3 linked regions of the Saccharomyces cerevisiae S288C genome follow. The protein of the gene in region 3 interacts with the protein of the main gene of each other region in a pairwise test. Each region holds a gene or a part of one and is shown on either strand. Other genes may lie near its edges. The genes, in order: YBR053C, BOL1 and GRX3.

Region 1 (3,428 bases), on a different chromosome or scaffold from region 3:
TGTATCACCCTTGCCGCTTATTGCGCCTGAAACAAACAAACCGGCAATTTTGCCATGGAGAGAACCCTTTGCCCAAAGCCCACCAGTATTCGAGTCCCAAAAGCTTTTCCACTCCGCGGGGAAGTTTCCAAACTTAGTAGGTATTCCGAATAAGTAGTAATCGTACTCAACCAACGTTTCTCTTGTTAGGATTTTATAGGAAAAATCTGCATTAGTTTTGGCGACTTTGGCTGCCTCTTTTCCCTCTTCTGTCGCATATTCAGTTTTATAGCTGACGTCTGGCACTTGGAAAATCTCAGCCTCACCACCAGCTATCTCTATACCTTTTTTTTCATTTTCTGCTAATGTGGCAATTATATCGTCCACTGAATAAATCAAAATAGCGACTTTCGGCATTATCTATGTGGCGTAGTATGTGCTTATAATAGTGAGTAGTATGCTGGAGGTCTTGATGTTCGATGTTTCTCGAGAAAAGTGTGATATAAAATGTGGTTTCTTTTTATTTCTTTTCTTTTCCGCTCTTTTATGTATTTTTGATTGTCCGCCCCTTAGGTGTTCCCTCCTTATAACTAGGCAACCAAAATGGAACGGCTATTATTCGATGTATAAGGACAAGTTTGGGAGCTTCGCTTCAATTTGCCCATAAGCGGTGTCATATGACGCTAGTTACATGCGCTGGATACGTATGCTGCATATATATAAACATATGTATATACACCTAGTGGAGAGGTTGTCGCTTTGTAGATTCCAGAGGAACATTTCCGTCTAGCACGTTTGGAATTTTGTAGATGCAGCCACCATTCTTGTCAGTATTGGTTCTTACAGCATCGTTGATTTCTGCATTGGCAGTGGTCACGAAGAGATCTTTACCAACAAAACAACAACATGAAACTCTTGGTGTCTGCTCCGGCAAAATGAACTCCTTCAGCAATTTTCCGTTAGTTAAATCGAACATTTGAACCTTACTGGTGGACCAGACAGTGATAAACAGAAACCCAGAATGTTTTCCGTCTTTGCTAAACCAAATTGCACTTCCATCTGGTTCAGGAGACTCAAAAGATTGATTGTTGGAGTTCTTCACGTCAATTAACTCGTCACGTTTTAGCAAGTCGCCACCAGGACATTTCCAAATAGTGAAGTTTAAAGAATCAGTCACGTACATCGTCTTTTGATCACTTTCATCCCAGTGGATCGCGTTAGGAATTAACAAGCAATTCCAAACAAGCTCTATCTTGTGAGCTAATAGGTCAACACGAAGCAAACACCCAATAGGTTCCAAATCAAATGGAAAATCGCTCATTAGCCCCACATAAATATATTTTCCATCTGGCGAAACGTTCCCATCATTAGATCTCAACTTATATGCTCTGTCTGTACTCAATTCAGGACATTCGGAATACAAAATGACATATTCCCATTCACTTTTGCTAAAATCCAATTTTCCTATGCCAAATTTACTACCAAATAATACTTGTTTGATTTCATTTTGTGAAGCCCCATCAAGTATTGGAAATATACAGCCCACGGATTCTTTTAATTCATCTGGATTGGGAGGGTACTCAATTGACGCATTCTTGCCATAATTGGCTCTACTAATGGAAAAAAAAGAATGACTGGATTCAGGCTGTTCTATGTCTTCGACTTTATGAACCTCTCCTTTAAAAATATCAACCCACAACAGTGTACCGGTTTCCTTAACGAAGGTTATTCCTTCACTATGTATGGCACCGGGAACGTGATAATAAGGTTTTAAATCATGCAAAATAATTTCTTCAAAATCGCCAACACTACTCATTTTACGAAAAGTGTCTAGTTGCTCAATGCATATAAACTTAATCTAAGAATCTTACAGGACATCTTCATATATGTCCATATGCTTTGAATAAGCATTGGCTTCCCCTTAAAGCCCGACCGGGTAAACTTTCACCTAGCTGTTCTTGGCGACCATTAAATAATTTTGAATGCATTTCTAGGAACAAAATCAAGTGCAAGCTACAGCTTTACAATTATAGAATCTGTTGACCAAGTAAAATGGATGAGAAAATTTACGTACGATTTTGTTCCTTATCCATTCAGCTTCTCAGTTAGTCAAGAGGTAGCTGTAGCGGCTTAACGAAAAAGGTATTAAAAAGGGACATACTTTTTTTATATCTTTTCCTTTGGCGTTCACAGTTACTCTTTTAGAACTCCTTGTTGTTGTGTAATGCATTTACCCATTCCCGATATAACTACCACTTTGGAGAACTGTAGACAAAGACCGCTCTTACTGAGTATACATTTTACTTTCGTAGACCGACTTTTAACTCTATTAGGAAAAGCAATTGACTTTTGAACTTCGATGACGATTGTGCAAAATACAAATCGTTTCAAGCGGTGTTCGGAATAGCTCACAGAAATGGCGAAGATATGTTGAAAAATACATACCGATGTCATTTGTGAAAAACAAAAACACAAGCTACAATTTGTATATTTACTCAATTACATATACCAATTGAGTAATAATTAAACAAGAAGGCAAAAATAAACTAAAGCAAAATAGTATACCATCTTTGGTTCCTGGACCACATTTTCTCTCAATATTTTTGAGATGTTTTTCTTTACTTTGTTTTAAGTAGTCTTTCCATCTCCCTTCAACGGAAACAAGTGCACGCAACATGTTATTTTCCTGTTATCCGCCCTGAGCAGTTTTCTTCCCCGGGTGGCAACCATTCTCCAACATTAGACAAACTTTACAAAGAAGACACCCTACCCGGTTGCCTCCAAAGCCCTTCTTTCTTAACGCGAGTACCGCTTTGGGAGGCCTCATCTTGGTTGTGTCCTCGTATGGCAGCATCTGCCATTGAGCGAACCCTTTCCCGTTTTACGCGCATGGCCTAGACCGATCTTTAGCAGACATGCCGAGTGAATTTACCTAAGATTTCTAAGGACTCTTCTGCATGTTTCCGAAAATCACCGGAAAAACCTTCGGTTTTTTTAGACGAAAACTAGGAAGTTGCTTAGCTTTCCTTGTCGTCTTCAAATCTATATGCCATCGGAAGAGAATCAGAAGAGAAGATCACGACTTAAGAGCTTTGCTGTTAAGATAGCAAGAAAGCTTGCCAATAGGCAGTTATGTAACCTAGTTTATCTACACCTTCTTTGATTAACTTAGCTATGTAGGCCGGTGTGTTTGTTCATATCACGGCATACGTTAACACAATGTAAATCTTGCTTTGGGTTGACTGAGGGAAATAACTATAGACATCACACCAATGGCTAAGGGATATTTCGACCTCGCTATGGGTTCTAAATGAGGGAATGGAAAAAAAGGGTAAATTGAAAACAACCTACCGATTTTGGTACCACTTCCGTGATTTTCGATTCTTCAATTTCCGCATAATTTGCCTCAAATAGGAAATCTGAGCTGTTTTTTTCTTACCCTCGAGTGG
Region 2 (2,538 bases), on a different chromosome or scaffold from region 3:
CATCCCAAGGACCTCAAGCCGTGAGGTACACTTCCCAACATGAGTGGATAGCTGTGCATCAGGACAAGACTGCCTTTGTCGGAATTACAAAATACGCCACTGATGCCTTAGGGGACGCTACCTATGTTGAGTTGCCAGAAGTGGGCACTGAGATTGCCCAAGGTGAGTCGCTAGGGTCCATTGAGTCCGTCAAGTCAGCCTCCGAGATCTACCAGCCTGCCGATGGTACCGTAGAGGAAATTAACACTAATCTTGAGGAAAATCCAGGTGTGGTGAACGAAGATCCTATGGGTGACGGCTGGCTAGTCAAAATGAAGCTTGGTGAGGGCGTTAATGTGGAACAGGTCGAGGGTCTAATGTCCTTAGAACAGTACGAAAAGACACTGGTTCATGATGACTGAACAAAGCTTATACGTACGTAAAGTAATTTCATATATATGTATATATATGTAGGGGAAATAAAACAATAAACTCAACGTGTACACTTATGCTTATGCATTCTATTTCGCTTTGGATTCATACTCCTGTGGGGTCTTTAGTGACAATTGTAAAGCATGGATACCGTTCGCCTGAGCCATCTCGTCTTGCAAGAGGGAATAAACCATACGATGGCGTTGTGGAAGTTTCAGGCCTTCGAACTTTTTACTGACCATCTCAATCCGGAAATGTGTCTCAGCAGAGACATTTCCCTGTACACCAGCATGGCCCTTATGCTTGTGAGAATCGTTGTAGAGGCCAAACGCAAAGTTCTTGTAATCTGGAAAGCCGCATTCCAGTCTCTTCAGGATGGTACGTGCCACGGGACCATCTGTGCTCATTGCTCTCTTGAACATTATTCTCTTTCCACTTTCGTTTGCTGCTAACGATGCTATTCTCTTTTTGATTCGTCATTCCGGAACATATATAAGTTTCTTTATTTGGTCACTGAGAACCATAAAAGCGAAAAGAGAAGGTAAAACATAGAAATGAAGCTCCCACAGACCATGCTACGTTCTATATCTGTGAAGCATGTCCGGTGGCCAAGGATTCTGACGGGCTCAAAGCTTTGGTACTCAACGCAGATGGCAATGACTCCGGAGGAGAAGATGATCACCGATAAACTACAACAGGAACTGGAACCTGAAGTGTGTAAAGTGCAAGACGTTTCCGGTGGCTGCGGATCCATGTTTGCTATCAACATAACAAGCAAGAAGTTCAACGGACTGAGTCTCATCAAGCAGCACCAGCTGGTGAACAGAATTTTGAGGGACGATATTTCCAGATGGCATGGCCTACAATTGACCACTAAGAAGTCAACTGGGAAGGGTCCGGCATCATCATGAACAGTTTGGAACCAAAAAAGCTCGTGTAAGTATCACTTTTAGTTTACTTTTGCTTCCCTCTGTGTATATTCTTTATATATGTATTTATTATTTTAATTGAAATCGCGAAATTTCACATAAGCAACACTAATATCAAAAAACTAAGCAAACAACATAAGGAAAGTTATAGCCATGGTACGTCGATGGATTCCTAGTGGCAGGCATCTTCGCAATAATGACAACACTGGTGATGATGACGACAGCGAGTTCACAAACTCGATGGATTCTGGGATGTCCATACCATCACTCAGGGACTCCATGACCACGAGGTCATCTCATAACGATCCCATCAAGCCTGCTCTGATGAACGATTCCAACAAAGTCAAAAATTTGGAGAAGGAGTTGACTAATGCCAAAATCAAGATTCAAGTACTCTATGAATACATTCGCAGAATCCCTAATAAAGACGGCAATGCACCATCGCTGGGCAATGACACTGATTTTAGAAATTCGATTATCGAGGGTCTAAATCTTGAAATAAACAAATTGAAACAGGATTTAAAGGCGAAGGAAGTCGAGTACCAAGATACGCTACAATTCGTTCAAGAGAATTTAGAAAATTCGGAAAGTATCGTGAATACGATCAATCACCTATTGTCCTTTATATTGACGCATTTTAATGAGCAAGATGAAAATGCCCATCTTCTTGATAAAGAAGAGAGGGAGACCCTGGAGGAAACTTTAGAGCTGAGCTCGGATTATGTTCTTGAAAAAATGGATACTTTGTCCAAGTTCATCATCCAATTCTTGCAGGACTTTTTGCATTCCAAAAGTCGAGCGGAATCAAAGCAGGATAAGGAAGAATTTCTTTCACTGGCCCAGTCCTCACCAGCAGGATCACAGTTAGAAAGTAGGGACTCACCATCAAGTAAAGAGGAGAATACTGATGGTGGATACCAGAATGACGAAATTCATGACAGTAACAACCACATTGATACAGAAAATGTAATGGCAAACAGTACTTCCTTACCAATTTCAGCCGTCGAGTCTCGTTTTGAGAAAACCTTAGACACTCAATTAGAGATTGTCATAGAAAATTTGCACAAAGAATATGATCAATTTATAAATTCCATTAGATTGAAATTCGAGAAATCGCAAAAATTAGAAAAAATAATAGCGTCCAAACTAAATGAGCAGTCTCATCTACTAGATTCCTTAGAATTGGAAGAAAATTCTA
Region 3 (3,118 bases):
CAACACTCAAGAAACAATACGATACAAAGATAATAAATCTGGGTGAAGGTGATAACGAAATTCAGTACGACATACTTGGATTAGAGATCAAATATCAAAGAAGCAAGTACATGAAATTAGGTATGGAAAAATCCTTGACAGAAAAATTACCCAAACTAAACGTACCTTTGAACCCAAAAGGAAAGAAACTTAGAGCTCCAGGTCAACCAGGTCATTATATAGACCAGGATGAACTAGAAATAGATGAAGATGAATACAAAGAGAAAGTGCATGAAATGCAAAAGTTGATTGGTCTAGCTTCATATGTTGGATATAAATTTAGATTTGACTTACTATACTACATCAACACACTTGCTCAACATATACTATTCCCCTCTAGGCAAGTTTTAGACATGACATATGAGTTAATACAATTCATGTGGGACACTAGAGATAAACAATTAATATGGCACAAAAACAAACCTACCAAGCCAGATAATAAACTAGTCGCAATAAGCGATGCTTCATATGGTAACCAACCATATTACAAGTCACAAATTGGTAACATTTTCCTACTCAACGGAAAAGTGATTGGAGGAAAGTCGACAAAGGCTTCGTTAACATGCACTTCAACTACAGAAGCAGAAATACACGCAGTCAGTGAAGCTATTCCGCTATTGAATAACCTCAGTCACCTTGTGCAAGAACTTAACAAGAAACCAATTATTAAAGGCTCACTTACTGATAGTAGATCAACGATCAGTATAATTAAGTCTACAAATGAAGAGAAATTTAGAAACAGATTTTTTGGCACAAAGGCAATGAGACTTAGAGATGAAGTATCAGGTAATAATTTATACGTATACTACATCGAGACCAAGAAGAACATTGCTGATGTGATGACAAAACCTCTTCCGATAAAAACATTTAAACTATTAACAAACAAATGGATTCATTAGATCTATTACATTATGGGTGGTATGTTGGAATAAAAATCAACTATCATCTACTAACTAGTATTTACGTTACTAGTATATTATCATATACGGTGTTAGAAGATGACGCAAATGATGAGAAATAGTCATCTAAATTAGTGGAAGCTGAAACGCAAGGATTGATAATGTAATAGGATCAATGAATATTAACATATAAAACGATGATAATAATATTTATAGAATTGTGTAGAATTGCAGATTCCCTTTTATGGATTCCTAAATCCTCGAGGAGAACTTCTAGTATATTCTGTATACCTAATATTATAGCCTTTATCAACAATGGAATCCCAACAATTATCTAATTACCCACATATATCTCAATAACAAAACGAACAACATGAGATAAAACACGGCCTTCCCTAGCTGAACTACCCAAACGTATAAATGCTTGAACAATTAGTTTAGATCCGAGATTCCGCGCTTCCACCACTTAGTATGATTCATATTTTATATAATATATAAGATAAGTGACATTCCGTGAATTAATCTGATAAACTGTTTTGACAACTGGTTACTTCCCTAAGACTGTTTATATTAGGATTGTCAAGACACTGCGGTATTACTCGAGCCCGTAATACAACAATACACAGTTGTTACGGTCCTATAGTGTAGTGGTTATCACTTTCGGTTTTGATCCGGACAACCCCGGTTCGAATCCGGGTAGGACCTTTTTTAACTGTGGCTTCTCTGTTGAACCATCAGTTACTTTTTTTTTTTTTCAGAGAATGTGTGCCGGGTCATGAGATGCCAAACTAAGAGGTCATTAAAATATATTTCAAAGACTAAATGTGTTCTTTTCAGGTTCCATCTGCATTTTCTTTTAACTACACCTCGTACTGTTATAAACGCCACCAAGCAAGATATTACACAGCAGCAAAACTTTTTCAGGAAATGCCTGTTATTGAAATTAACGATCAAGAGCAATTTACTTACCTAACTACCACTGCGGCCGGCGACAAGTTAATCGTGCTTTATTTCCATACCAGTTGGGCAGAACCATGCAAAGCATTAAAGCAGGTTTTTGAGGCCATTAGTAATGAGCCTTCCAATTCCAACGTCTCTTTCTTATCCATTGATGCGGACGAAAACTCGGAAATTTCAGAACTTTTTGAAATCTCAGCTGTTCCATATTTTATCATAATTCACAAAGGGACAATCTTAAAAGAATTATCCGGCGCGGATCCAAAGGAGTATGTGTCTTTATTAGAAGACTGCAAGAACTCAGTCAATTCCGGATCATCACAAACTCATACTATGGAAAATGCAAACGTAAATGAGGGGAGTCATAATGATGAAGACGATGACGACGAAGAAGAGGAAGAAGAAACTGAGGAGCAAATAAACGCTAGATTGACTAAATTGGTCAATGCCGCGCCGGTAATGTTATTTATGAAGGGGAGCCCCTCTGAACCTAAATGCGGGTTTTCGAGACAACTTGTGGGTATCTTGAGAGAACATCAAGTAAGATTTGGCTTCTTTGATATATTAAGAGACGAATCTGTTAGACAAAACTTGAAAAAGTTTTCTGAATGGCCAACTTTCCCTCAACTTTATATAAATGGGGAGTTTCAAGGCGGTTTAGACATTATCAAGGAATCCTTGGAGGAAGACCCTGATTTTTTGCAGCATGCTCTCCAATCTTAAATAAATAGATGTATTTAGTGTAAATTGAAACAGAAAAGTCTCCATTTCCAACTAATGGTATGCAAGCATTTTTATATGTGTGACATAATGAATGGCTTCTGGTTAAGTTTGGCTTTTTGAACAACCATTGCCCGGAGAAAATAAACGCGTGAGCAGTAGCTGATACGCGTCTCACTTTTTCATAAATTCATGTATAGGTCATCGCCATATAGAGAAAATATTTGAAATTACATCTGTTGAAACTAATAAGAGCTTTTCCTTGGAGCCTTCTTTGCTAACAGATAAGATTTTTTAATTGGAGCAACTAGTTAATTTTGACAAAGCCAATTTGAACTCCAAAATGGCCCCAGCTACCCCTAAAACTTCTAAGACTGCACACTTCGAAAATGGCTCCACATCTTCTCAAAAGAAAATGAAGCAATCGAGTTTGTTATCTTTTTTCTCAAAACAGGTACCTTCTGGCACACCGTCAAAGAAGGTCCAGAAGCCTACTCCAGCGA

What was found.
Region 1: the proteins of GRX3 (region 3) and YBR053C interact in a protein complementation assay, tested with the Saccharomyces cerevisiae proteins (one large-scale study listed by BioGRID).
Region 2: the proteins of GRX3 (region 3) and BOL1 interact in a two-hybrid assay, tested with the Saccharomyces cerevisiae proteins (one large-scale study listed by BioGRID).

What each region holds. Positions count from the first base shown.
Region 1 is NC_001134.8:338,957-342,384, forward strand, and holds YBR053C (regucalcin), read right to left. Parts: upstream 1,796-3,428; coding exon 719-1,795; downstream 1-718. Other genes in the region: RFS1 (flavodoxin-like fold family protein), read right to left, coding at 1-396.
Region 2 is NC_001133.9:55,813-58,350, reverse strand, and holds BOL1 (Bol1p), read right to left. Parts: upstream 834-2,538; coding exon 501-833; downstream 1-500. Other genes in the region: GCV3 (glycine decarboxylase subunit H), read left to right, coding at 1-401; BOL3 (Bol3p), read left to right, coding at 966-1,322; gamma-tubulin complex subunit SPC72, read left to right, coding at 1,494-2,538.
Region 3 is NC_001136.10:643,678-646,795, reverse strand, and holds GRX3 (monothiol glutaredoxin GRX3), read left to right. Parts: upstream 1-1,865; coding exon 1,866-2,618; downstream 2,619-3,118. Other genes in the region: mismatch repair ATPase MSH6, read left to right, coding at 2,959-3,118.